2 linked regions of the Arabidopsis thaliana genome follow. The protein of the gene in region 2 interacts with the protein of the main gene of each other region in a pairwise test. Each region holds a gene or a part of one and is shown on either strand. Other genes may lie near its edges. The genes, in order: AT1G29950 and AT5G50010.

Region 1 (12,474 bases), on a different chromosome or scaffold from region 2:
TTGAATGGAGCAGTGGAGCAAATGTACACTGAGATGGCGTCAAGACACAGAGTAAGGTTCCCTTGCATTCAGATTATTAAGACAGCAACAGTCCCAGCCTCTCTCTGCAAGAGGGAAAGCACGAAGCAGTTTCACAACAGCAAGATCAAGTTCCCGTTGGTCTTCAGGAAGGTTAGACCTCCCACCAGAAAGCTCAAGACTACCTTCAAGGCCAACAAGCCTAACTTGTTTATGTAGAACTAGAAGCTCTCTCATTTTTCTATCATAAATTCATAAGGTAATTGACTTTTCATACTTGTTGAGGGATCGAAGTTGCTGGTTTTGGCTTTTTAAAATTTTGTGGGTAGAATCTTGAAGTTTTATGATTCATTCTCTTGGTTTCGATTCTGGCTTTTCTTGTTCATTTTTATTAGTTAGGTTTCCCAATTGTCTGCGTTGATCCCCGTTCTAAAATTTGTTGGACATTGTAGATGTTTTCTTAATCCATGAATACGGTACGATTAGAGCTTAAACTAATATCCTCTTAAAAGAATGTAATTAGAATCTACCATGAAATGAACGAACAACGTGAAGAAGACTAGAGCTTTGGTTTAGACGACTCATATGAGACTACTAGCTCATTAGGACCAAACCCGGACGAACCAATCTAATCGGCTAAAGTGAGTGAACAATCTTTGGATGACTTTATCCCTCTTCTAAACAAAATCAGAAGACAGGCTAAAAAATTACAAAACAACTAAACCTATATGGGCCAAAAGCATATGGGCTTATTTAATACTTGTAGCAGCATTTTTCACACAGTTTAATATGTTACAAAATCTTTCATGACTTATCTTTCATAAAAAAGGGTGAACGACCTGTGTCCCCGTAGAAAGTTTCATATACGCTCATAATTCTACAGAATCCAGACTTCGACTCTAGTCCACACCAAATGAAAGTTCCAAACCTCAGTTCCACGGGTACAATAAACCAACGATAAACCACAAAATTCAAAATTTTGTGGACCGAGGATTTGAACTTTTGATTTAGGGGAACTGAGGTTTGGAACTTTCATTTGGTGTAGATTGGAGTCGAGGTCCGAATTCTGTGGAGTTGTGAGCGTATATGAAACTTCTCATGGGGACACAGGTCGTTCACCTGATAAAAAAAAATAAAAAATTGAAGAGTATTATAGTACTACATAATACTTTTTTCTTTCTGTTTTGATAAGATTTTGTTAAACTCAAAGATGACATCTATTCAAACAAAATATTTCGGTTTCATTAACCCATGACTGGATGTTGTAGAAAATAATAACAATTCATAATGTATAAAAAACAAAAGACAAAAAAAAAACATAATTCTTAAGACTCATAATTAACTAGTGATGATCACAAATGATCTACTAATTAAAATCTTGATTATGGATCATTTGTTATTATTCTCATCATGTCCTCTCTTGATCCTTGAAGCAGCTTCCTCGCACAGTTTCTCATAGAGCTCTTGATGCTTCTCCATCATCTTCTTCACCTCTTCGCGATCCTTCACGTCATTTGGATCCACTTTCCACCACGCATCCTCATTCATGGGCATCATCTCCGCCAATGCAGCCGTCTTCTTTAATTTGACTTCTTCCACCGTTATCTCCTCCACCAATCTATTGTATACTTTGCAAAGCTCTTGAATCTTCGCTTGCTGATGAGCATTCATGACCGATCGTTGCAACGATGATGAAGAAGACGACGAGGCCTCGCCGTTGAGAAACCGCTCTGCCACGGCTTGGAAGGACGGACTGCCGAATGTGTATGGTTTTCCAGAGCAAGAATACCCGAGAAACGCAACTTCAGCACCACAGAGAATGGAAAGCTCACTGAGTTTAGTGTAGATACCATTTCGACGCTTAGACAATGTGACCAATCTGTCTTCGTCTTTTTCAATTTTCTTGATGTTAATCCTTTGTTTTCCTTTGGTTTTCTTGGGTTTCATTTTGGAGAAAAACAAAATTATGAGTTTATTGGCTATAAAAAAATAAGAGAAATTTAAACTAAGTATTTGTTTGCTGTTTTTGGCTTTAGCCAAGGAATATGTTTTTTTTGTGGGTGCAAGATAGGGTTTATATAGATGGAAAAATGGTAGTAATTTAAATTGCATAAAAGTTAGTCAATTCTTAGATTAATGTTTGGAAGGTTGGTAATATTGATTATCCGCATAGTTATGGTTGATTGATAACAATTGTTAATGTTGGATGTAGAGACTTTGACTGGAAAAACTTTTTTTGTAAGGACTTTGACTATATAAATTTTTATAACCAATTGGTAAAAATTGTGATAGTCGAAACTACGATTTTAAATAACTATCAAATATGTGGGAAAACAGAAAATAAATCACAATGATTGTTTTAAAAATTATTTGACACACAATTAAGAAAATCCCTACAGTTTGGCTTGACAAACTTGACGTTACCACCAATTGGTATCACCATGATTGATTTAAGTGAAAATAGAGCAATCTTTAAAATGTGGGGAAATGCTATTGATCAAGTAGTATTTTTAAATGGTTATAAGATTTTCCCATGAATAATCTTGGCTTCACACAAAACATTCGATGTTTGTTTTAACTTTTTGATACAGAGGCGACTCTCACATACAGCGTCAGACCAAAAATACATAATGTTACGTGCTCTCAAGTCTAAACCATATACTCACTTTTCCTGAGCGTTTAGATTCTCCCATCTTCGTGAATGGTATGATGATCCTGCATCTCATAGTCAGTCATGAGCCAGACTCACTCGGCAACAACGATTAACCATACTACCAATCTGCCTCGGTCATCTCATTGGCCTAATGACCAAGCTAACTCGTATGCTAAGTTGGGGTTGGTCCAAGCGGTCCAAAATCTTGAAATGGCCAAACCTACACATTATTATACATACCGAAGATTAGCCAAATAGATTTACCAAAACAAATGCAAATAACACATTTGAAGTTCCGAAATCAGATAATCTAACTATATTTGTAAGTTAATGACAAAAAGTTTATACCCTCCAAAGCACTCTGCCTTGAATAAGACCGTAAGGTACAGTACCAAAGTTTCTTGAGTCTCGTGAGTTATGAGTATAGTCACCTTGAACAAAGACATGTCCTTTAGGAACCTAAAACCAAAAAAACATCGAAAGATCAATTCGCCATTAATCCAACAAACTAAACAATCCAAAGGAAATTGTAATATACACCAATAACACTAACGTTGCTAAAAGATTCAAAATTTTCCATGAATTGCAATCAGCTAAATCGAGCTCAATACTAATTAACAACTTGTTTCAACTCTGATCACTCAATTTCTCAACAATGTATCTACCTTCTTCAAACTCAGTTCTCTAAGTACAACATTCAAAAATCTCATCCATAAGCAAAACCAAAGTGAAGTGAAGTCAACAAGGAAGAAGGTTAAGTAACAAAACATACCACAATGGTTTGAGATTCATCACTCTTCCTTGAATCAATCACAAAGCTTATACAATCACCTTCAATACCAATAACTCTTTTAATTGGAGTCTTATTAGGGTTTTCTGGAGATCGTATCACAACTATATCTCCACGACTCGGTTTCTGATACCGCTTCGAGATTCTCTCCGCTAATAACACATTTCCCGAAGGATGAAGCGTCGGAGTCATGCTCGGACCATAAGCCTGCTCAAAAAGACTACATCTTTATGGTAAATTTTCAATAACGAATTCGATTTACACCAAAAAAGAAGAGAGATTTCGATTGACTCACATAAGCCATGAATCCGAGATAGTTTGTTGTTACATGAAGAAAGCAGTAGAGTTTCGCGAGTAACACGCCGCTTTTCATGGCTTCTCGTGAAGCTGTGTTCCAGAAAGACGACGACGGAGTCGCCATTGCCTATTTCTTCAACTGAATCCAACGAATCGAGATTTGAGAACTACACAAAGTCTGCAGATTTCACGAAAGTGTGAAGCTTTGAGACGAATCGTTGAGCTATACTGTGTAAAATAAAATGTAATCATAACCCAATTTATAAACCCGGTTATTTAATAACCCAGTTAATTTCCATCAGAAATTGAATTTTGGTTACGTATAGGACCCGTTTTATGGTATAAGCGTGACTTTTCAAAATGATGGCCCTTACATTGTTCAGTAGAAGGAAGACCAAATGTTTAAAACTATGTAGAAGCAAATACATAATGATAATTGTAGTTCATAGTCAAATGATTACAGTGAAAGTAAAACCATACAAATTAAAATCTCAAATCAAATCCACAAGTACTTGTTCAAACCTTGCTTCTTCATCGAAGCAGTAACACACAAAAAGCAAAATACATAGAGAGATTCAAACATAAAATAGATACCATCCTGCCAACAAAAGGAAGTGAGTATAGAGGGAGGAAAATAAAGAGAAAGGTCCAGATAGCGCTAGACCGATGATTTACCTCCCGAGAAACAATAGTGATGGAAGAACCGAATATCGGTAGCATTCAAGATTGGTTTGAGAAATGTCCAACGCCAAGTTTCTGAGCTTCGATTTTAAGTGACTTGAGATACTGAACAGCTTCATCAAGAACGCAAGCTGTATTCATCTGTTCTCCTCCAGGGACAATTCTCCTCAATACTCCCATCATCTTCTTCATCTTTTTACGTCCTTTCCCATCATTGTTACTACTACTAGCACTGCCCGATAAACTCTGCTTCCTTGAGTTGTTGTTGTTGTTGTTGTTGTAACCATAACTGGAACAACAAGATTCTGCTGTGGTGTTTCCATAATCCCTGGAAGAAGTACGAGCAGTGCTGACTTCTTCTGAATCACCACCATCCTCTTCACCTTCATTATCATCATTCTCTTCATAATCTTCATCTGCGCTCAAGAGAGCATCGATCTCATTTGGATCTTCTTGATAAGAAGAGGATACTTCTTGCTCATAGTTACCATAGTTACCATAACTTCCCCCAACATACTCGTTCTGAAACGTCGAAGCTAAATTGTTCAACGAAGGGGTATTCATGAGCTTATGAGTCAGCTCAGGATGGTACATCACTTGGCTGCGGTCATATGTTTGATCGAAGATGACAAAGTTCTTTGGACAGACCGCAGACGGTTGAAGTTCAACACCATGGTATGGCAACTTTGCACATGGTGGGAACAAAGCATCATAGGATGACCCTGATGCATACGGGTTGTGCATATTTCTGTCACCCACTTCATCTGAGAAGTGAGGAAACTGATTGTTCTGCATCAGAAAACCCGTGCAAACGTAAAAAAGGAAACGCAAAGAGAAAAACAAGTTGTACACCTCAAACTGCAAGCTGCTTGAATATTTTCTACTACCGATTTGTCGCCTTTGTAAGCTTCCAGCTGCTCAGTTACTACTACACTAAGTTGACACACGGAACCAAATGCTATATCAAGTTATGGCCATCATACTAAAGATATCACGAGTTTCCACCAGAGCCCTTACCCCCCAAACCAGAAGCTCCCCCACAGACAGCTCTTCAGAATACCAGACTCTTTAACAACTCACAGTAAATTTTTTCGAAATCAAAAGTAGATAGCCGCTCAAAACCCCAATTTCCGAAAACTCCAGACGCTAGACTACGTTACAGGCTTAAGCAACTGTCTGAAATATTCAGCCTGCAATGATTTATAAGAAAGGTTGAATATCAGAAAAACTATGGTTAATACTCTAACAAATAGCTATCCACATGTCATCAAGAGGATAGAGTTCTTTTAATGACATAAATCAGTGTTGCCTAAGCGATAGAAGTGTTAGGAAATACTAAATCAAAGAGAGGCATGTACCTGGCAAACTTGAACGGATTGGTAATTAGCAATGAAACATGTAGTCATCATAAAAGTTCCTATTTCCTTCAATGATCGGTTTCCCTTCTTGTTTCCAACAATGCACATTCTCACAAACTAACCAGTATAATAAGCACAACAACAAAGAACTATTCCGAATTCCGGAAACAACACCTGCAAAACAAGGAAGAGATGCCAATAGTTTTAACACAAGAAGCTGTATATAAGGTGGCAACAACAAAATTTGCTTCCACAAGGTACCAATGTAAGACAAAAACACAAGATGTGAAATGAGAGGCTGGCTCACCTGAAAGGAACAAAATTACAGAATAACGAGGAAAAAGACAACCAGACGAGTGCAAGTTCTGTTGAAAAACATGAAGAATGCTGTCCAGGGCATCTTTGGTTCTTCCAATATCAAATTTGTAAGTGTATTAAATACCGTTCCTCTTCTCACAAACTCTGCACAAACAAACAAAAATTAGGACCAACGCTATTCAAATACTAATATATTTTCAGTATAGGAAGTTGAAAGGCACTAACTTCGAGGTAGAATCCTAAAATAACTACTGGCAAAACAAAACAGAGAAACAAAAAAATGGGAAATTTCTAATTCCTGATTCAGATAATAAAAAAGCACAACTTTAGGCATCTGCGTACAACAAACAAAAAGATAGGATCATGACTAAAGACATTAACATCGGATCCAGAATAAATGTTTTTCGATTTCATGATCACAAACCAAAATCAAAATAACTTAACAACTCTGCTTCAAAACAGAACACATAGAGGAAACAAAACCTCAACAAAAGAATTGGACTTGTTAAAAGAAAGAATCTTTACGCGATCATGAATAGTTTATTAATAATAACACAAACAAACATAAACAAGACAGAACATTCAATAGAAAAATCAAATTCAGCAATCATCTGATAAACCATAAAATAGCTATTTATGAGATACCGTCAAAGTACTAATTACAAGACAAAGAAAAAACATATAAGTCCTAATAAGTCAGAAATTGCGGCGGTATAAAGAAAGAAAGAAGCAGAAAACATTCATACCGTAGAAGAAATCAAAAACCCTTTGGATCAAATGAATCGGTGATGCGTAAAAACTAAAGCTTTAGAAGAATCTGATCAAATTCGAAAGAGTGATTTTTTTGTTTTGTTGTTACAGAGGAGAAGAAGAAGAAGATCTAAAGAGAGAATGATGTGTGTGGCAAAAAGAGAGAGAGAAGGGAAGGGTAGAGAAATAAGGAGAAGAGAGCGAGCGAGCGTGGCTTTCTTTTTCTGGTGCGGTTTGTTTTTTTTCGTTTGGTTTGCCCATTTTCATTTCTTTAATCACTCACTCACACACACTACACTAGTCACTACACAAACAAACATTGTTTAAAGTTAATAATTTCGTTTCACGCTTTTCGTGCGTGAATCTACTTGTTTTGTTTTTTCAAATGTGGAGCAAAAAGATGTTTAACTTTACCGCAAATTTTTGGAATTTTCAAAAAAAAAAAATGCACTCCTATTAATTTGATTCATCCAAGATAAAAAGGTAAAAAGCTTGGACAAAATATGTCTTTTTACTTGTTAGATTAGATAAAAAAAAATCTTGGAGTAGAAAGATGACACATTTTTATTAGTAGTGTTATTTAAATCCAACAAAGTATAAGAGTGTCGTGATACCTATATTGTTTCTTAACTTTTTCTCAAACAAAATATTTGTTTCTTAATCTTTTCATAATGTTCAGTTTCTTTAATCTGTTTCTTTCGGCATAAGTAATTCTTTAACTATTTCACTATCTAACTATAAAAGTGGATATTACTATTACAGTAGAAACTCTATAAATTAATACTCGATAAATTAATAAACACGGTAAATTAATAAATTTTGTAGGTTCCAAGTTGTGCCAATATAAAAATTAACCAAAATCAATAAAATAATAAGATAATCATTTTTTTAAAATTCCTATGTAAAATTATAGTCCCAATAATATTATAAATTAATAATTATAGATCTTAAATATATATTTTAAGACTAATTTTTATATGAAATTTTTGTTCAAGCTATAATTACAACTCTTTTTAAAATACAACTGATATGATCTCTGTTGTACTCACATAACTATTTGCGTATTTGATCCGTCATAGTTGATTTTATAAAATCTTTTATTTGAGAAAGCATTACTATGATTTGTGTAAAGAGAAACTGGATTAACTTTCATGTTTACGTTTACGTTCACGTTAATGTCGTAGATATACAAATACAAATCTTACCGAAAATAAATTAAAGAAGTCAAATTAAAATAAAAACCTAACATAATTATATATGCAAACAACAAAGCATATAGAAAATTACATTAAGAAATATTTTTAAAAGAATATAGTATCGTACTTTACGTAAATATTTCTATAAATTAATATTTATTAACTTATACGGTAAATTAATATATATTAATTTAGAGGATAAATTAATATCACTATAAATTAATAAAATTTTATGGCTCACCATTATTAATTTATAGAGTTTTTACTGTATCTAGTAAAATTTACTAAATCACTCTATTTGACCGGTGTCATGCTTTAGATTAGGTCTATTAAAAAACTCATGTATATCACTATGTAAGTGGATAGTAAAAACTCAAACAACTTCTCTTTAGGAAAAAAGAATTACTGTATGTAGAAAATATGTTATCCATTTCTGTAAAGATGGAACACACTATGATTACAGTGTTTAACCCATGTATATCACTATGTAAGTGGATTTTCTTGAATGAAAAGTTTTTTAAAACATAAAAATAAAATAGATGTTATGATAAAATAATAAATAGTGGAAATTAAATGGAAAAAAAAAAACAAGAAGAGGGAGCACGCGTGAGGGGATGGACAGAAGAGAGTCAAACAAGGGAAAGTGTGAGCCGTTGGATGAAACAATCACAAATGGTTTCCGTTTAATGCGGCCTTGATCGTGACCGTTGGTTTGGTTGCTCCTTTAGCACGCGTGAAAAGCTTTTGTGGACCTCTATAGCTCCCACCAAAAAACCAAACTCTCTCTTCTTTGACAATTTTTATTTGTAGTTTTAGAGACGACACAGTGACACACTCTTCTCTCTCTTTGGGCTCTTGTCCCAACCCCATACTTGTTCCAAAGAATATTACTTATTATTTCCAAACCAAACTCATCATTCTTGTCTCTTCACTTTCAGCTGTAATTTTAAGTTTATGTTGGCATGCGTATGCTTGGTAATATTTTTTTATTATTTGATTGGTAAGCGACAAACAACAAGTAAGAATATTTGGTGAGAAAAATAAAAGTAGATATTTGGCAATAAGTAACTAAGGTTTAAAATTAAATAATATATACGAATCGTGTGGGTTTAATTTAAATCATGATTATGGACAGCATTAGTTTCAAAGGAAACCATTCCACACATTGCGAAATAGTTAATCTCATGATGCTGCTTCTTTCTAAATCCATCATTATGTTTCTGTTAAAACTCATTCGATTGAAGTACTGGATGTTTGTTCCAAGTCTTAGTGGAAAAAAAAAGTCTTGTTAAAAGAATCGAGACAATGCAACTAATATTGTACACAAACACCAAACCGTTTCTGAAGCATTGTTATGGATGGCAAAAGTGTTCTTCAACACTTCAACGGAGGTCAAACCTGTTCCTTTTCTGCCTTGTTTAGGGAAAAAATATTCTAAAGCGAAAAGCATTTTTGGTATGAGAATATCCAAGTGCCAAGTGAGAAGATTCAAAGAAAAGTTTAGACGAAAAGCAAATGAATGGAATAAAAAAATATCAATTATAACGGAGTGTTGTTATGTAACTTTGTTAACAGTTGTAAGTAATTTGTAAAACAAACCAAGAGACAAAAGTTTATTTGTAAGGTATAAATTTTTTTTACTGGAAGGTAAAAAAAATGTGTTACACACCAAGTGCTTGAGTGTGGTTTTTAAAAAATGTGTTACAAAGTCATCAATATTCTTGTTGGTACCTTGTTTGCCTTTTGCTTATAACAATTGTCGAGTGTCGAAATGTAAGGGAAATGAAACTTTAGTGTTTTGGGAATGATCTTTGGTATTGGCAACAGACCATTTATAGTGACAAATATCCATTAGTGTTGAGGAATGTCCTTAAGTGCTAACGAAAACGCGTATTAGTGTTGAAGAAAATCTTTCAATGCTGACATAAGACATTTAGTGTTCACGGAAGGCCTTGTTAGTGCTATGGATGGAAAATGCTCTTATTTCTCGTAATATGAAAACTTGCTGCTACTGAAGAAATTGATCTTGATGACTAATTTCTAACTATTATATCACCTTACATTCTCAGAAGTTAAAAATAAAATGCATAAACTTTTTCAAATACAATCAGAATCGGTCAATCCGGTGACCGAAATCAATTATGATGTTTTTGAGAGTTCTGATTGAATTTTCAAAATCTACATCACTAGTTGGATAAAGGTGATTTTGATGGCTACCTTGTGATCATCATATCATCTGATACTCTTACTAGTTGGAAGCCAAAGATATAAACTCTCAAATACAAACGGAATCAGTCAAATCATATGGTCGAATAATAAATTATTATGTTTTGACACACCAAAGCCTAGCTACATGTACACTTGAGTTTATGTTGGTGAACGTCTTGATCACAAAATCTCACATACACAACATTGATGTCCAGCGTTAATGCGTTATACCCTTCTAGAGATCTAATTGGTGACACAAAATCTCACGTAGTGTAAGTCAGCAGAATGAATGCGTTTCAGAGCTAAGATCTTACATGTTCAAGCCAATGCTTTCGAGGAACGGTTTTTGTAGATCCAAGAAAGGAATAGAAGCTTTTATATATATGTCCAGACAAAAATATTGGATTTTAATTAACTATATATATATATATATATATTATGATCAAAATGGATAACTATAACTTATGCATGACAAAATAGATTCACAAGAGTAAGATACGTTTTTCTAAACTAGTACAGTATTTATGAGTTCTACAATATTATGCGAGCCATTGCAAGGTACAACATTACATACTAGTCTTACTGCATTTAAATGGTTTGGATGTGTATATCATTATGTTTATTGCATAATTTGATCATTTTGGATAGCTATGAATCGGCATTAGATTCATGTTAGCATTTGGATTACAACATAATTTTGGAATTGTGATATTTCAACGTTGGTATCATATTCGTAAAGGTATGATTATTGTAGAAAATATGAGATCTTATATAGATATCCTGATCCTCTCATTGTTGTTTCTAATGGGATGGAGATCCAACGTTGAATATGAGACTATGCTTCACACACAACACACAACTCACGACTCACGCAAAATATACTTACCCTTCTCCTATCGTAAATACTGTCCGACTAGTCACATAACATTTTTCAAACTTGCACGTCGAAAATTTTTCGAGGAAAAATCTATTGTTGTCTTCCCAAGGATCATCCAAACCATATAATTGCCTCATTGATGCATCTCCCAAACCAGAAGCTAAGAAAAAGGACCCGGATCGAAAGTTTTAGTTAATTTTGTTTTATAACGGTCAAATTGTCTGATCGCGCTCATCCATAAGACCATAACCATAATCCAACATACACGACATTCCCCAAACGAAAAATCTTCGGCATAATTCAACCACTCGGTGGATCCCAAAAAATCAGTTTCGAACAGTATGTATAGATACACACTTTTAAACTTATATCTTGCAAAACAAACAAACACATCATCCAATATATCATCAATACACGAAAGTTTCACTTAACTAGCTTTAGTAGCAAATCAATTTTGCTCTTTTTAAAAATGTGATATAATAGTATTTTTATTTTATACCTGTTCGATCTTGATTAACGTTGTTTTAGTGAGCTTAAACACCAAATATCGTTAAGGTTCAATAGAGAAATTCACCAAAAAATAGTAAAAATCCGTATCCAATCTCGTTCGAAAAATTATTAAGAATTAAGGGTTCGAAATATAAACATTTTAAAGATGAGGATTATATCTGCAATAAACTTGAAAGTTATCGACAACCAGTAAAACCCAAACTCAATAAACTCCTAAAACCCTTTCCCTTTTTTCTCGCGCCGCCTTCTCTCTCAGACTTCTCCGCCTCTCCATCAATTTCCTCAGGCAAGAAAAAGCTCCTCCGAAACCCTAATTTCAGCTTCCTCAAACCTCAGAACCGGCCTAGCTTGAGAGCAAACCTTAAATCATGGTTGTGAACGCGAAAGACTCGACGGTTCCAACGATGGAAGACTTCAAGGAGCTTCACAATCTCGTTACTCATCATATAGAGTCTTTCGATTACATGACACTGAAAGGACTCGATGTTATGTTCAATCGAATCAAACCCGTTTCTGTTTACGATCCAAACACCGAGAATGAATTGAGCAATATCCTTTTTTTTTTTGTGTTGAATTTACTCTATGGCTCTTGTAATGTTCAATTTTTGTTTGTGTTGTGTCTGATTTCCTTGACAAGTATGATACTTTGGTTAGAAAATCCTCTAGTATTTGCTCCACAGAAGGAGAGTTTTAAATCAACATCAAGGAAAGAGCCTTTGCTTCCCTTTGAGGTGAAGTTTTTTTGTTTTGAACATGTTTCCGAGGTTTATATATTTTGTTGGTGTGTTAGTAACTTTGGTTTTGGTTTAATGAATAAC
Region 2 (11,521 bases):
CCGAAAACAAAACCCAACTTAGTTTCAAACTTCAAGCACGACGATGTAAGTTCTCATCGTCGTCGTCAGCAGCATCGGTGGCTCCAGCAGCGAGATCAAGAAGCTGCTCCATCTGCAGTGTCATCTCCATAAGCGTCTTGGAAGCAGTGTCAGTGTTTTTCTCGACCAAACCCTTCACACGCCTTGTATCATCGCCAGAAACCATGACGTCGTAGTTGGCAGTGTCTGGTGAGTCCTTGAGTTCCAGTAGAGCGCTCTTTAGAGACGCCAAAATACCAACATAGGCGTCGTGGCACTCGTTGAACTGAGTCTTCAATGTTGCGTCCTTTTTGGCTGTCTCTGCTGCGAAACCAGCTGTCTTCTCGCAGTGGGATATTGCAAGGCCAACCACGGCCTCAGCCAATGGTAACTACAGATTAAAACATAAGCAATTTCAAAGTTTTAATGAACTTTTTAAACACCTATAAAAACTTCTTAAAACAAATGGTTGGTTCTTCACACTTTTTCCATTGAATTCCTTTTAAATGATGTTGCCATAGACGCTTATCGAAACAAACCATCAAAAGCTATGTAGATGTGTTTTAGTTTAGAATTATTACTGAATAACTATGTGTTTAGATGATCAGTACCAGGCCGGTGGCAGCAGCGGCAGGAGGATAGGTGGTCAAAGTTTGGATGCAGAAGGCTTTGTTTTTGACTCTTTGGCAATTGGAATCGATGTATTCCCTGTTGACCAAGGCTGAAGCTGGGGCTAAGAGAAATTGTGACAGAACTGCCAAAGTAACGACGAAGAAACAACCGGAGTAAGAAGCCATTGCGTCGCCGGAAAAATATTTTATTTCTCTTGACCTCTAAGTATGGGGAAATCGGATTTTGGTTTTAGCTTTTGTTGGTTGAGGCAATATCACTTTGGGTCATATATATACCAAAATGGCAAGTCTAATTTAAGAATGTAAAAAATTTAGTGTGTTCTCAGTTTGAACGGTCTCTATAAATAGATCATTGTCATGGTTCCTATAACTTTGGTCAGGGGACAAAAATATTCAATCTTATCGCCTTTCTTTATTTAGAAAGAAAAACAGTAAAATAAAACTGTGGTTCTGTCTATTTTAAGGCAAAAACCAGAGTAACCTAAATCATCATTAGAAATCATCATCACGGCAAAACATTCAAAAAGTTGATTACTTATAACTTAATTCGACCTCTACCCAAGCTTACACTAAACTTATTCACAAATAGTGTTCACAACTCCCAAATCAAACCAAACCCACAAAATAATGAAAAATTGAAAACAATAAAAACTTAGTAAGAAAGAAAAAGCTTCAAAATAATTACCCTACTACCATCGTTCACTCATCACCGTCCCTCCTCTGCAGCTGCATAGCTTCTACTTTCTCTTACTGAAGAACCAGCAATTACGTCCTCCTCCTGTGCATTGCTTCTTGCTCCCCAGTTTCCATGCCTGGCTTCTGATCGAATTGTTGGCGCTCTCTCATTAGACCCGATTCTCATTTGGTCAATATCGATCTTGTGATGCGCTGTATCGCTGCCCTCTTCGTCATTTAAACGCTGCTGCAGTTTCATAACATCTTCATCGATGTCTAGATCGTCTTCCACCTTCTGGCGCCGTTCCTCCCTGTTTTCTTCATCTGCTTCTTCTGGTCGTTCCCATGTGGTAGCCAATGTAATATTCCTTGGAGGTTCTTCTTTGATGAACGCTCTGAAGTCATTCCTTGAGGGTTTAACTTTTGAGCAAAATGTCTCAAAAAAATTGTTTGAACACCCACGGTTATAAACGTTGATTCTATTGTCTGATCTGTACCGGAAATTCTCATAGGTCGTCTGAAAAATTGAAATGTTGGGTATCAGATAGGACACAATTTACACAACGCATACCCTGAGCAGAACAAAACTAACCTGGTTTGTGCTAATGAGGTACAAGTGAAACCCAGTAAGCCCTCCAACAAACCACAGGGAAATAAAGCAATATATCATCAGCATAACCGCCCAGGGTGATTCTCGCATTGCCCTCCACACAGTACCTTGATGGTTATCCATCAGAACCTTGATGTATAATGCCGACATCGAAAAAATGTAGATGCAGAGAATAGTTGCCGAAGAAACAAACATAAAGAAGTACCTATAGTTTCTCTGCCCACAACACACACAAAACAAAATGTCAAGATGGAAAATTAAAGTTCACAGTTTTGTCAACAACTAGAAAAACCAGATCCTCAAAATATGAAATCCTTTTATAGAAAATCCTGCACATTTTTCTGCTTATAAGAACTTATGAACTGCATATCTTCCCAGTTTAATATGCTTTTGAATCAGCTTACCACTCCAATGCATTGGCCTACCCAAGGGCAATGATGATCAAAGCGCTCAACACAGTTGTTGCAAATGGAACAATGGGAGCATCGAGGAGGCCGATAAAGCATGCATGTATCACAATATTTAACTCTAACAGAAACGCCATAAACCATGACTTCCTTCGTCCTAGGAATTTGAACAGTGGGTGTTTGTCTTCCATCACTTGATACAGTTGTATCATAGCATAGTTCTTCCTCTGGCGGATGCGAATTTCTTGGAACGATTCCAGGATCCCGCGCAGAAGTGAGGAAGAGAAGGATCAGTACCTATTAAGTATTTACATGATTTTAAAAAAAACATAAATGAAGGAAGAATAATAAACCTGCCCAAAAAAAGCATAATCCAAAAGCCACACAAAAAGTGACAACATTCAAAATAATACTTCAAACTTTATATCTAAGCTAGAGGAAAGAACATAACAAGAAACACAGTAAGATACATGTTATTGAGGTGTGATTTCAAAATTTTGGTAAGATTTTTAACTTATTGTCGTATAATTACAAGTGAATCATACTATAATGCATGTATATAATCAACATTCAAAACTTATAAAAGAGTTGATAAGATCCTATAATATCCCATGATAAGATTATAAGGTATACAAGATACATGTGAACAAGAAATCAAATATCAAATGGGCATTGGAGAAAACTTACAAAGACAGTAAATAGAACTCCTGCCACTAAGAACACATGTCCCGCATTGTTTGGTAAGAGCTCGCGGCGAAGATGTGTTGCAACAAATACAGAAAAGAAACAAACGGGAGTTATGATGAGCAGGAAGGTAAAAGGAATAGACCAAGCATCTGGCCCAAATATCAATCTCCCACCAAACAGAAACTTCTGCAAAAGACCAACAAAAGAGAAGATGATCATCATGTTCAGAATAAATACAGCATAGAGCATTGCATCAAAAGCTACATTCACAAGTGGTAATGGGTTCCATTGAACAAAATCTGACAATAGACTGATAGAGTTCACCAAAAATGCAAGTTCATGCTTGGAGAGTGAACCAATAGTGAATAGAAAGCTCATCAATGTTGTAAATATGGTGATGCATCAGCATGGAACCAAACCAAATCTAACAAATACGGTATATATGTTCAAACTTAGATCTTCGCAATGATAACAATAAATGACACTATCAACAGTGATAGAGTTGAAAAAGATTCGAAATTTAAAGCCACCAAATTCAACATATACAGTCGAATCCAATAAAGCTCACCAATGTAATCTAATTGAATATGATGATACTAATTTCTTCACACAAAAGTACAATTTCCCTCAAAAATGTCCACATTGTTCTCATCAAAACAACAAATCCACTCAGAACATTCTTCTCTGCAATTATTTTTCTTAAAACTAGGACAGTGAAGTCATAAAAATGTCGCCTTTAAGAAAACCTAAATGTAGATTCCAGAAAAGGGAAAAGAGTAAAGCGAAATCGAGACGCCTTAAGAAAGAAAAAGAAAAGCTTACATTACTTCCCTTCCAGGCTTCGAAGACCCGTCCAGCCATTAGAATCAGCGAACGGATCAGACACTCCTCGCTACACTCTCTGACGAATTGGAGGATCCTGAAAATTTTCTACGCCGATTCATTTCACATCAGAACTCCGCCCAAAACCTAAGTGTTGTCTCTCTAGCAACAAAATTCAGGTGGGTGAGAGTAATTTCCAAAACAAAATTGTAGTTTTTGTGTGGTGCGATCTCTTCTCTTCTCTTCTCTTCTCTTCTCTTCTCTTCTCTCTCTCACAAAAGGCGTTTCGTTTCTGGATTGTGTCTCCCGAGACGAACATTACAGTTTTGTTCCTTCATTTTTTTATTACGCATATAAAATTATTTTTGTAATGTTTTAAAAACCGGACCGGTCCGGTCCTGCAGACCAAGAATCGTTCATGTGGCTGAAATTGGGATGAACCGGTATCTGGTCCGGTTTCTAAAACATTTAGCTGCAAGATTTATTCTGAATGGCTAGAGACATGTATTCAAAACTTATAAACTGGATGGGACTACAGTATATCACATGTCACTAGTTCTATGCACAAAAGTCAGGAAATGACAAGTGATAAGAGTCTTAATCATGAAACAATAGGCAAAAATTGCTACCATATTGACAAAAGACTGCCAAATATCCCACCAAATCACATGTCTGTTTGGCACGAAAACAAACATCTTTAATCATTTGTAAAAAAGTTAAATTAATTGTGTGTTTACCATTATAATTGGCCTATCATTGAAAATGGTTATTCAACTTTCCCATTTATGATTCTCTCGGCCACACGACTCACAGATGAACAATAACAACCACACCGACAAAATCTTATAGAAAAAGAAGAAGCAACTACATGATATAACAAACAGCTAAACGACTGAAATTAAAATTTCGCAATCCATCTTAATCATCAACTAATATGAAATATTCAATTTGCATTTTAATATCAATTCCTTCTCTTGCAACTCCGAAACATTATTTGGTTTATCTTCCAACTAGCAACAACCTGATCCCTTTGTAGCTTGACAAGAGTACCACGGTCCAATATGTCTACTACTTTGTTTAGAAACCAAGTCCACTTGCCAATGCTAATATGTCTTAGGTATCCTACAAACAAAGAACCTCATGCTTCTCGATTTTTCGCTTCCATCTTCAATGATTTAAGGTAATCAATGGCTCTATCGATGACTAAGATCGGGTCCACCAGTTCCTCCCCGGGGACTACACTGCGCAAGAGGCTTACAGTCTCAAATATCTTCTCTTCTCCTATCTTGTTACTAGACAGCTTAGAACGTTTCAGAAAACTAATCCTTGTGTTGTCACAACTACCACAGCTCGATTCAGCGTCCCGCATACTCTCATTCGAGGTTTCGAGTATCTTTCTCTTTTTAGCATTTAATGGTTGTCCATAGCTTCCAAGAAATGTTTTTTGGTCCTCACGGCCTGATACTACAATGCTTGGGGAATGGTCTGCGCTTGTAACCTCATCTTCTTCAGAGCAATAACCACTCTCATCTTCAGAGTAAAGCAATGCATTTAGTTCTTCCGAATCCTCCTTCAAATCCGGTTCGCTATTTCCTTGCATTCCGTGACAAACAAACAAATCTTTGTTGCTTCTTTGGAGCTCTTCCTTCATATCAGGACAGGCATGCTGTTTTAGGGTCTCAAAAGATTTCCGTATATCGGAAGCGAGTAGCAAAGTCGTCTGATCTCCAGACTGATCAAACACTAGGAACCTCTTCTGACTACATTGTTCCTCAGCTTTAGATATAACACCGTCTACTTGAAGAGGTACTTGCTTCATACATTGGTTTTGAGGAGGCAAGAACTGCTGCTGTAGGTGGGATGACCCATGAACCCATCCACAATACCCATCAAAATAGGATTGAGAGACTTGGGTAGAAACTTGATAAGATCCACGAGTAGAAAACATGTCGGTGGTGTCGCCGCAGGTTTTAGATACTAAATTCAAGTCTTGCTTCCCGAGATGAGACAGAGCTAGGGAAGACAAGGAACACAAGCGCTGAGTAGGAAACCCAAACCCACGATCTTGTCCCATCCAACACTAAACAAATCAACTATCCAAAACAGAGGACATCATCATCTCAAACAAATCAGCTACTTATAATCAAGAATGGGAGGTCAAAAGATTATGTGTGCAAAGACTGGAACTTACCAACTAAATGGATAGAAGAAACTAGGCTTGAAACAAGAACGATAAGTATCGAGCTACTCTACGTGACGGGCTTCAACAATTGACGGAAATATTCAGCCTGCAAAATACACAACATCAAAGCTAAAACGAAATCAATAAAAAAAAGTTCTGGTGGTTTAAAAATCTAAATATATTGCAATAACATAAACTCATCAAACAAGAAAATAACCTGGCAATCTTGGAGAGGTTGAAAGCATGCAATGACTCTAACTACAATGTTTCCTGTGATACCGTGTTCGTGTTTGAGTGTACGAAATCTTGTCTGTCCCGCTGATTGACAAACCATAACTACTTTCTCCCCAACTGATTCCTTCTCCCAAAACAGAGTATCCAAACGAAGTCTTAAATAATTTGGCGGACAAAGTAAGGGAATGTGAAGAAAAAAGACGACCCCATTACATAAAAAAGCTATGTCTGAAGTAAGATCGCAGTTTACAGAATCACACGACAGAAGACTACTACTGTACGAAAAACATAAGCAGAAAGACACAACCACCACCGCATGCTGTTGCTTTGTTGCTCTTTCTTGTTTTATCTCTGGAGTCAATCTCACTACTTCAAATGAATCTGCAAAATAAACGAGAGCAATAGATTTAGTGCTAGCAAGAAACAGAACACTTTAAAACAAATAACTTAACCTAGAAAAATATGCACAATGCATATTATTACAGAGTTTATAAGTTCTATCTCGAAAACTGAAGATAATAGAAACTCACAAAAGTGGAATGCAAGAGAAGCAAATAGAAGTTCTAAGGAGGAAGCAGAGAGATATTAGTTTCAGTGATGGCGAAGAGAAGTTAGCGAGGAAGAAGATATATACAAGAGAAAAAGACGAAAGTGACCTTCATCATAACAGAGATGCGTGCGTGCGTTAAAGTTTAGGTATCGTGATGCCACAGTGTTTACCAAATCCGATAACAAATGTTTTTGGGAAAATTAGCTGAATTTGGTGGGTTCAAAATCTAAATAGTTGTTTATTTTTCTCGATGTAATTACTAATTAGTAAGATATACTCATAATCCATATTGTTGTTAACATGCTTTTTCGGCTTATTTATATTTGGCTAAAAGATATACATTTGCCCATTTGGTGGAAAAATAAATTATGCCAAATAGCTTGTTTTGGTTGGAAAGAAGAATCAGTCGACTTTCACTTTTCATCACATGTAAACAAATTCAGCTAACGGAATCTAGTATCTTTCAATTCCACCGAAACACAAATATCATTCACATAATATAAAAATGATCATCAATGAAGCTATACAAAAAAAAAAATCCATTTGAAGCCAAAGTATACTTACTTCATGCAATCATGTTTTATAAGACGCTCGCTTATGTATTTTGTTGGTTTCGTACTTTCGTTCATCGTCAGTAAGAAAAGTAGTGAAAGTATCCAATGTGAAGAAGAAGAAGGTCCAATCATTTCTCAAATACTCTCGTTTGCAATGGCTTGACCGTTCAAACCCCAAATCATTTCTACTTTTACTTTTTACCTTTTTGCACCCTCCATTTCCATCTTCTTTGGGTTTCACATTATGTTTTGTCTTCCCATTCTGGTTGGTCTATTTTCATATGGATCTCCAAAACACTTTCGTGGAAAATGTATCTATTGCACTTATAGTGAAAAAACGATGAAATATGTGACGATAAATATAACAAGAAGAAAGGAAAATCCTACAAGACAATTGATTGCTCTTCATCTTTTCTTTATTATAATCTCTTCCAAAATATGTATATTTTTCTATATATACTAAAGTGTTAAGAAAAAAAAACAAGCTTCATTATCATTATAAGACTTCCGTTTTCACTATAGAAGTAGGAACGGTACAAGTCATACTCACTGACTTATAAAAATACAAACAAATAATGATAACATAAGAACATTATTATTGAGATCATAATTTATGACCAATCCACAATAATTTATATTATGAAAATATAAATTCAATATTAGATACTGTAAGATAAGTTTCGAAGGACAAAAAAGGAGATAATTTCTATACAGAAACCCAAATGAACAACCTGCATCACCAAAAATTACCAAGTTAGCCAAAAAAAGTTTTTTTAGCTAGTTAGCCAATGACTTAATCGTATATTATCAATCATAAAACTTGATACCAAAATTATCTAAACCTAATTAATCCCCCAGAAGAAACAGACACGTTCTCTCTTGTCAGAAAATGGCACTGACTAGTAATAATTATACCCAAGATATTTTTCATTGACAATCAAAGACATCTGAAACTATATTCAATAGTGATAGATGTAGAAGACCCATGATTTAGTAACCTGAACCAAATCTTTGATGTACAGATAAGAGAGATCTGGTTGCTCACAATCATACAAGCAGAGTAACATTTAATATTACCACGCCAAATATTTAAGTTATACAAAAACCATTAGGATAATATTACTAATCCGTATAGTATATAAATTAGGATTAATTAAAAGTGGATACACTTAATCCTTACTGGCTTTAATGGTGTCAGGGGCCCAAAACAAACCCTCCACCGTTTCTCTCTTTCTGTGTGTCTCTAAAGCAATCATCATATCCTAGGTCCACCATTTTTATACACATAAAATAACACTCTTCTCATTTTGCGTGGTTAAAAAAAATACACATATATGAGATGTTTTTTTTTGATAAAGACACATATATGAGATGTTGATTTGCTATCTTTTATGTTCTTCAATTCAACAAATGTTCTCGAAAAATATGACATAATAAACTGGCTGAATATCAAGATCATAGTATAATGTGCTCCAAAATGTTGGACCGAGAGTACTTATATAACATCTATATAGTTTACATATATTCACAAAACGCATTAAAAATGCTACATATCACGACTTCAAGTCTTCTAGCATGACCGTGTTTTGTAATGGGTTTCAGAGAATATTGAAATTTAATTTCCTTCTGAGTAAAGGAAAACACGCATGGGAGATGAGTTCACATTCTTTAATTCTTAGATAAAGCAACTAAGTGGGTTTATAGTATAATTTAACTATTTAAGTACACGGAATTAGAGTTATAGTTGAGGAAGAGCTGATCATGTTAATTATTTTTAAATTTTAAATTAAAAAGAAATTTGTACACCTTAAAGGCGAAAATAAAATAAAATTGAGGAGCTTCTAATGGCCACTCCCAAATTTCAAAAGGTATTCATTTCCCATATTTTCGGCATAGAAATTCTAGCTTTTGTTTTATATTTGACCTTTTAATTTGATTTGGTTAATATGTAACGAACATGCGATTATACAATACATTTAAAATAAAAAAAAAAAGAGAAAAGAAGAAGAGCACCATTGTGTATATGCTTTATTTGAGAGAATATATATATTTAATATTGATCTCAAGAAGAATAGTGAAGGTTTTGGTAGGGACAACAGACAATGCATGGAGCCATTTGGTACGTGGATACGCCAACAAAATCATCCACGCTTCGTGCAATTTAAAGCAACCAATACACTTAACCACCACTCTAAGTTCCATTCCTCAATCTTCAAATCAATTGATTATCATATGTATCCCATACGTGTAAGCGTATGTGAAAATAGATTTGGTTCAATTTATAAAAAATAAAAAAGTCAAGAGACATGATTGGATCCACTTATCATTATACTCTATATGCTGACAATAGAACAATATTTTACATAGTATAACTCGGGAGTTGGTCGAGTTCATAGCATCAAAGCGTACTTCAAACACACACTGAGTTGTAACAAGCATGTCCAATTGTTTAGACATGCCACAACCGATATCTTCATGTCAATATCAAATCAAGATGAGAAAGATCGGCTTAGTTCTTCCTAATATCTTTTAACTTCGTAACATCAATTTATATTAGTAGTTTATCCATAGTATGTGAAACCAAGTTGGAAAGACCAAAATCAGAAGTATGATAAACTCCACATACGACGTCAAAAATGTAGATGTCGAAATTCACATACTAATATTTTTGTATTTAGGTTTACGAGGGAGCTCAAATCTTTGATGGGCCGAACATCCAGAGTAATGGGCCAAACTTTTGCACTCACTATTCTCGTCAATAAAATGGTTGGTACCAACACTTATTTTGATAATAAGTGATGATTATTGTTTTTGGAAATACAAAACAAAAAAGTATTTATTTTATGAAAGGAAAAAAAGAAATGTAAATACAGATACATTAGCGTCGAGGCAAGACCATGTGCTCACTCACATGCGGTCTTCTCTTCTCTTCTCATCTTCCCTTTTTATGATTTTCTTTTCCCATTTTCCTCTGCGTTTGATTATCTGAGAGAGAGAGAGAAGAAACTTGTTGAAACAAAATCAACAACAACTTATAGAAGACCAAAAAAAGATTCATAGGATCTTTTGCTTGACAATGAAAGAAGGAAAGGATGGGTTTGTTCGAGCAGATCAGATTGATCTAAAAAGCTTAGACGAGCAACTAGAGAGACACTTAAGCAGAGCTTTGACTTTAGAGAAGAACAAGAAGAAAGATGAAGAAGACACAACCGCCGTCGCCATCGGTGGCTCTGCTTCTTCTTCCCCTGTCACTCTAAACGGCGGCGGATTTGTTGGCAAGAGGAAACAGAGACTTGAGTGGGAGATCGATCCTTCTAAACTTATCATCAAGACTGTTCTTGCTCGTGGCACTTTTGGTACCGTTCATCGTGGTATCTACGACGGTCAAGATGTTGCCGGTTAGTCACTTTCCCGTCGTTCTAGCTTCCTTCTCTCATCGAAACCTTTCCCTTTCATTTTATATTATTAGTTTGTAACTGTGAAATAATGCTAAAGTCTTCAAGTTTAGTTTAAAGTCTCGAATTTAAGAATGGATTACTACATTTGTACTTGAAATGTCGGATCCGAAACAGGCTTTGTACTTGAATAGTTTAGTTCTGTGTTCGTGTTTTTTGACCATGAAACTTGTTAGATTGAAAAAAAGTTTGGATTTTTAAGATTAAAGTTGCTGAATTGTTTTGGATTTGAAGAGTTTTTTTCTTTAGAGGGTAGAAGCAAATCTTGTGATCTCCGTGAAGCCGACACGGGTTTTGCTATCATAAGTGTTTCTTCAGCTACTTGAAAGGTCTCTACTTGGATAATTATGATTCTTTTGCTTTGTGGATCTTTCATGTGATTCCAGCTGTTGTTGTCTCAATCTCTCTTTTTCATGAAATAAATTTTAAAGAAAAAAAGAGTGAATAATAGATCCCTTGAATGCAGTAACTAAAGAGCTTTTTTACTGTTATTAAATTTAAAGTGAAGAAATGAGCTAATCATTGTGGTGAAATTGAGCAGTGAAGTTGCTTGATTGGGGTGAAGAAGGTCATAGATCAGAAGCTGAGATTGTGTCTTTGAGAGCTGATTTTGCTCAGGAGGTTGCTGTTTGGCATAAATTGGATCATCCTAATGTCACCAAGGTTCATATTTCACTTCTGTTTACTTTTTACCA

The links.
Region 1: the proteins of AT5G50010 (region 2) and AT1G29950 interact in binary tests that used the Arabidopsis thaliana proteins (3 or more experiments, as listed by UniProt).

Annotation. Positions count from the first base shown.
Region 1 is NC_003070.9:10,486,221-10,498,694, reverse strand, and holds AT1G29950 (basic helix-loop-helix (bHLH) DNA-binding superfamily protein), read right to left. Parts: upstream 6,998-12,474; 5' UTR 6,862-6,997; intron 6,721-6,861; exon of another isoform or gene 6,341-6,720; intron 6,260-6,340; 5' UTR 5,798-6,259; intron 5,630-5,797; 5' UTR 5,235-5,629; coding exon 4,479-5,234; 3' UTR 4,097-4,478; downstream 1-4,096. Other genes in the region: AT1G29965 (Ribosomal protein L18ae/LX family protein), read left to right, coding at 1-237; RPL18AA (60S ribosomal protein L18A-1), read left to right, coding at 1-237; AGL64 (AGAMOUS-like 64), read right to left, coding at 1,408-1,965; AT1G29960 (Peptidase S24/S26A/S26B/S26C family protein), read right to left, coding at 2,844-2,891, 3,020-3,130, 3,444-3,668, 3,757-3,882; NRPA2 (nuclear RNA polymerase A2), read left to right, coding at 12,025-12,205, 12,302-12,387.
Region 2 is NC_003076.8:20,343,960-20,355,480, reverse strand, and holds AT5G50010 (transcription factor bHLH145), read right to left. Parts: upstream 6,867-11,521; 5' UTR 6,798-6,866; intron 6,649-6,797; 5' UTR 6,251-6,648; intron 6,140-6,250; 5' UTR 6,043-6,139; intron 5,945-6,042; 5' UTR 5,926-5,944; coding exon 4,990-5,925; 3' UTR 4,651-4,989; downstream 1-4,650. Other genes in the region: AT5G50030 (Plant invertase/pectin methylesterase inhibitor superfamily protein), read right to left, coding at 32-409, 630-815; AT5G50020 (DHHC-type zinc finger family protein), read right to left, coding at 1,357-1,842, 1,918-2,151, 2,340-2,639, 3,030-3,215, 3,852-3,948, 4,240-4,271; AT5G50000 (Protein kinase superfamily protein), read left to right, coding at 10,448-10,769, 11,368-11,489.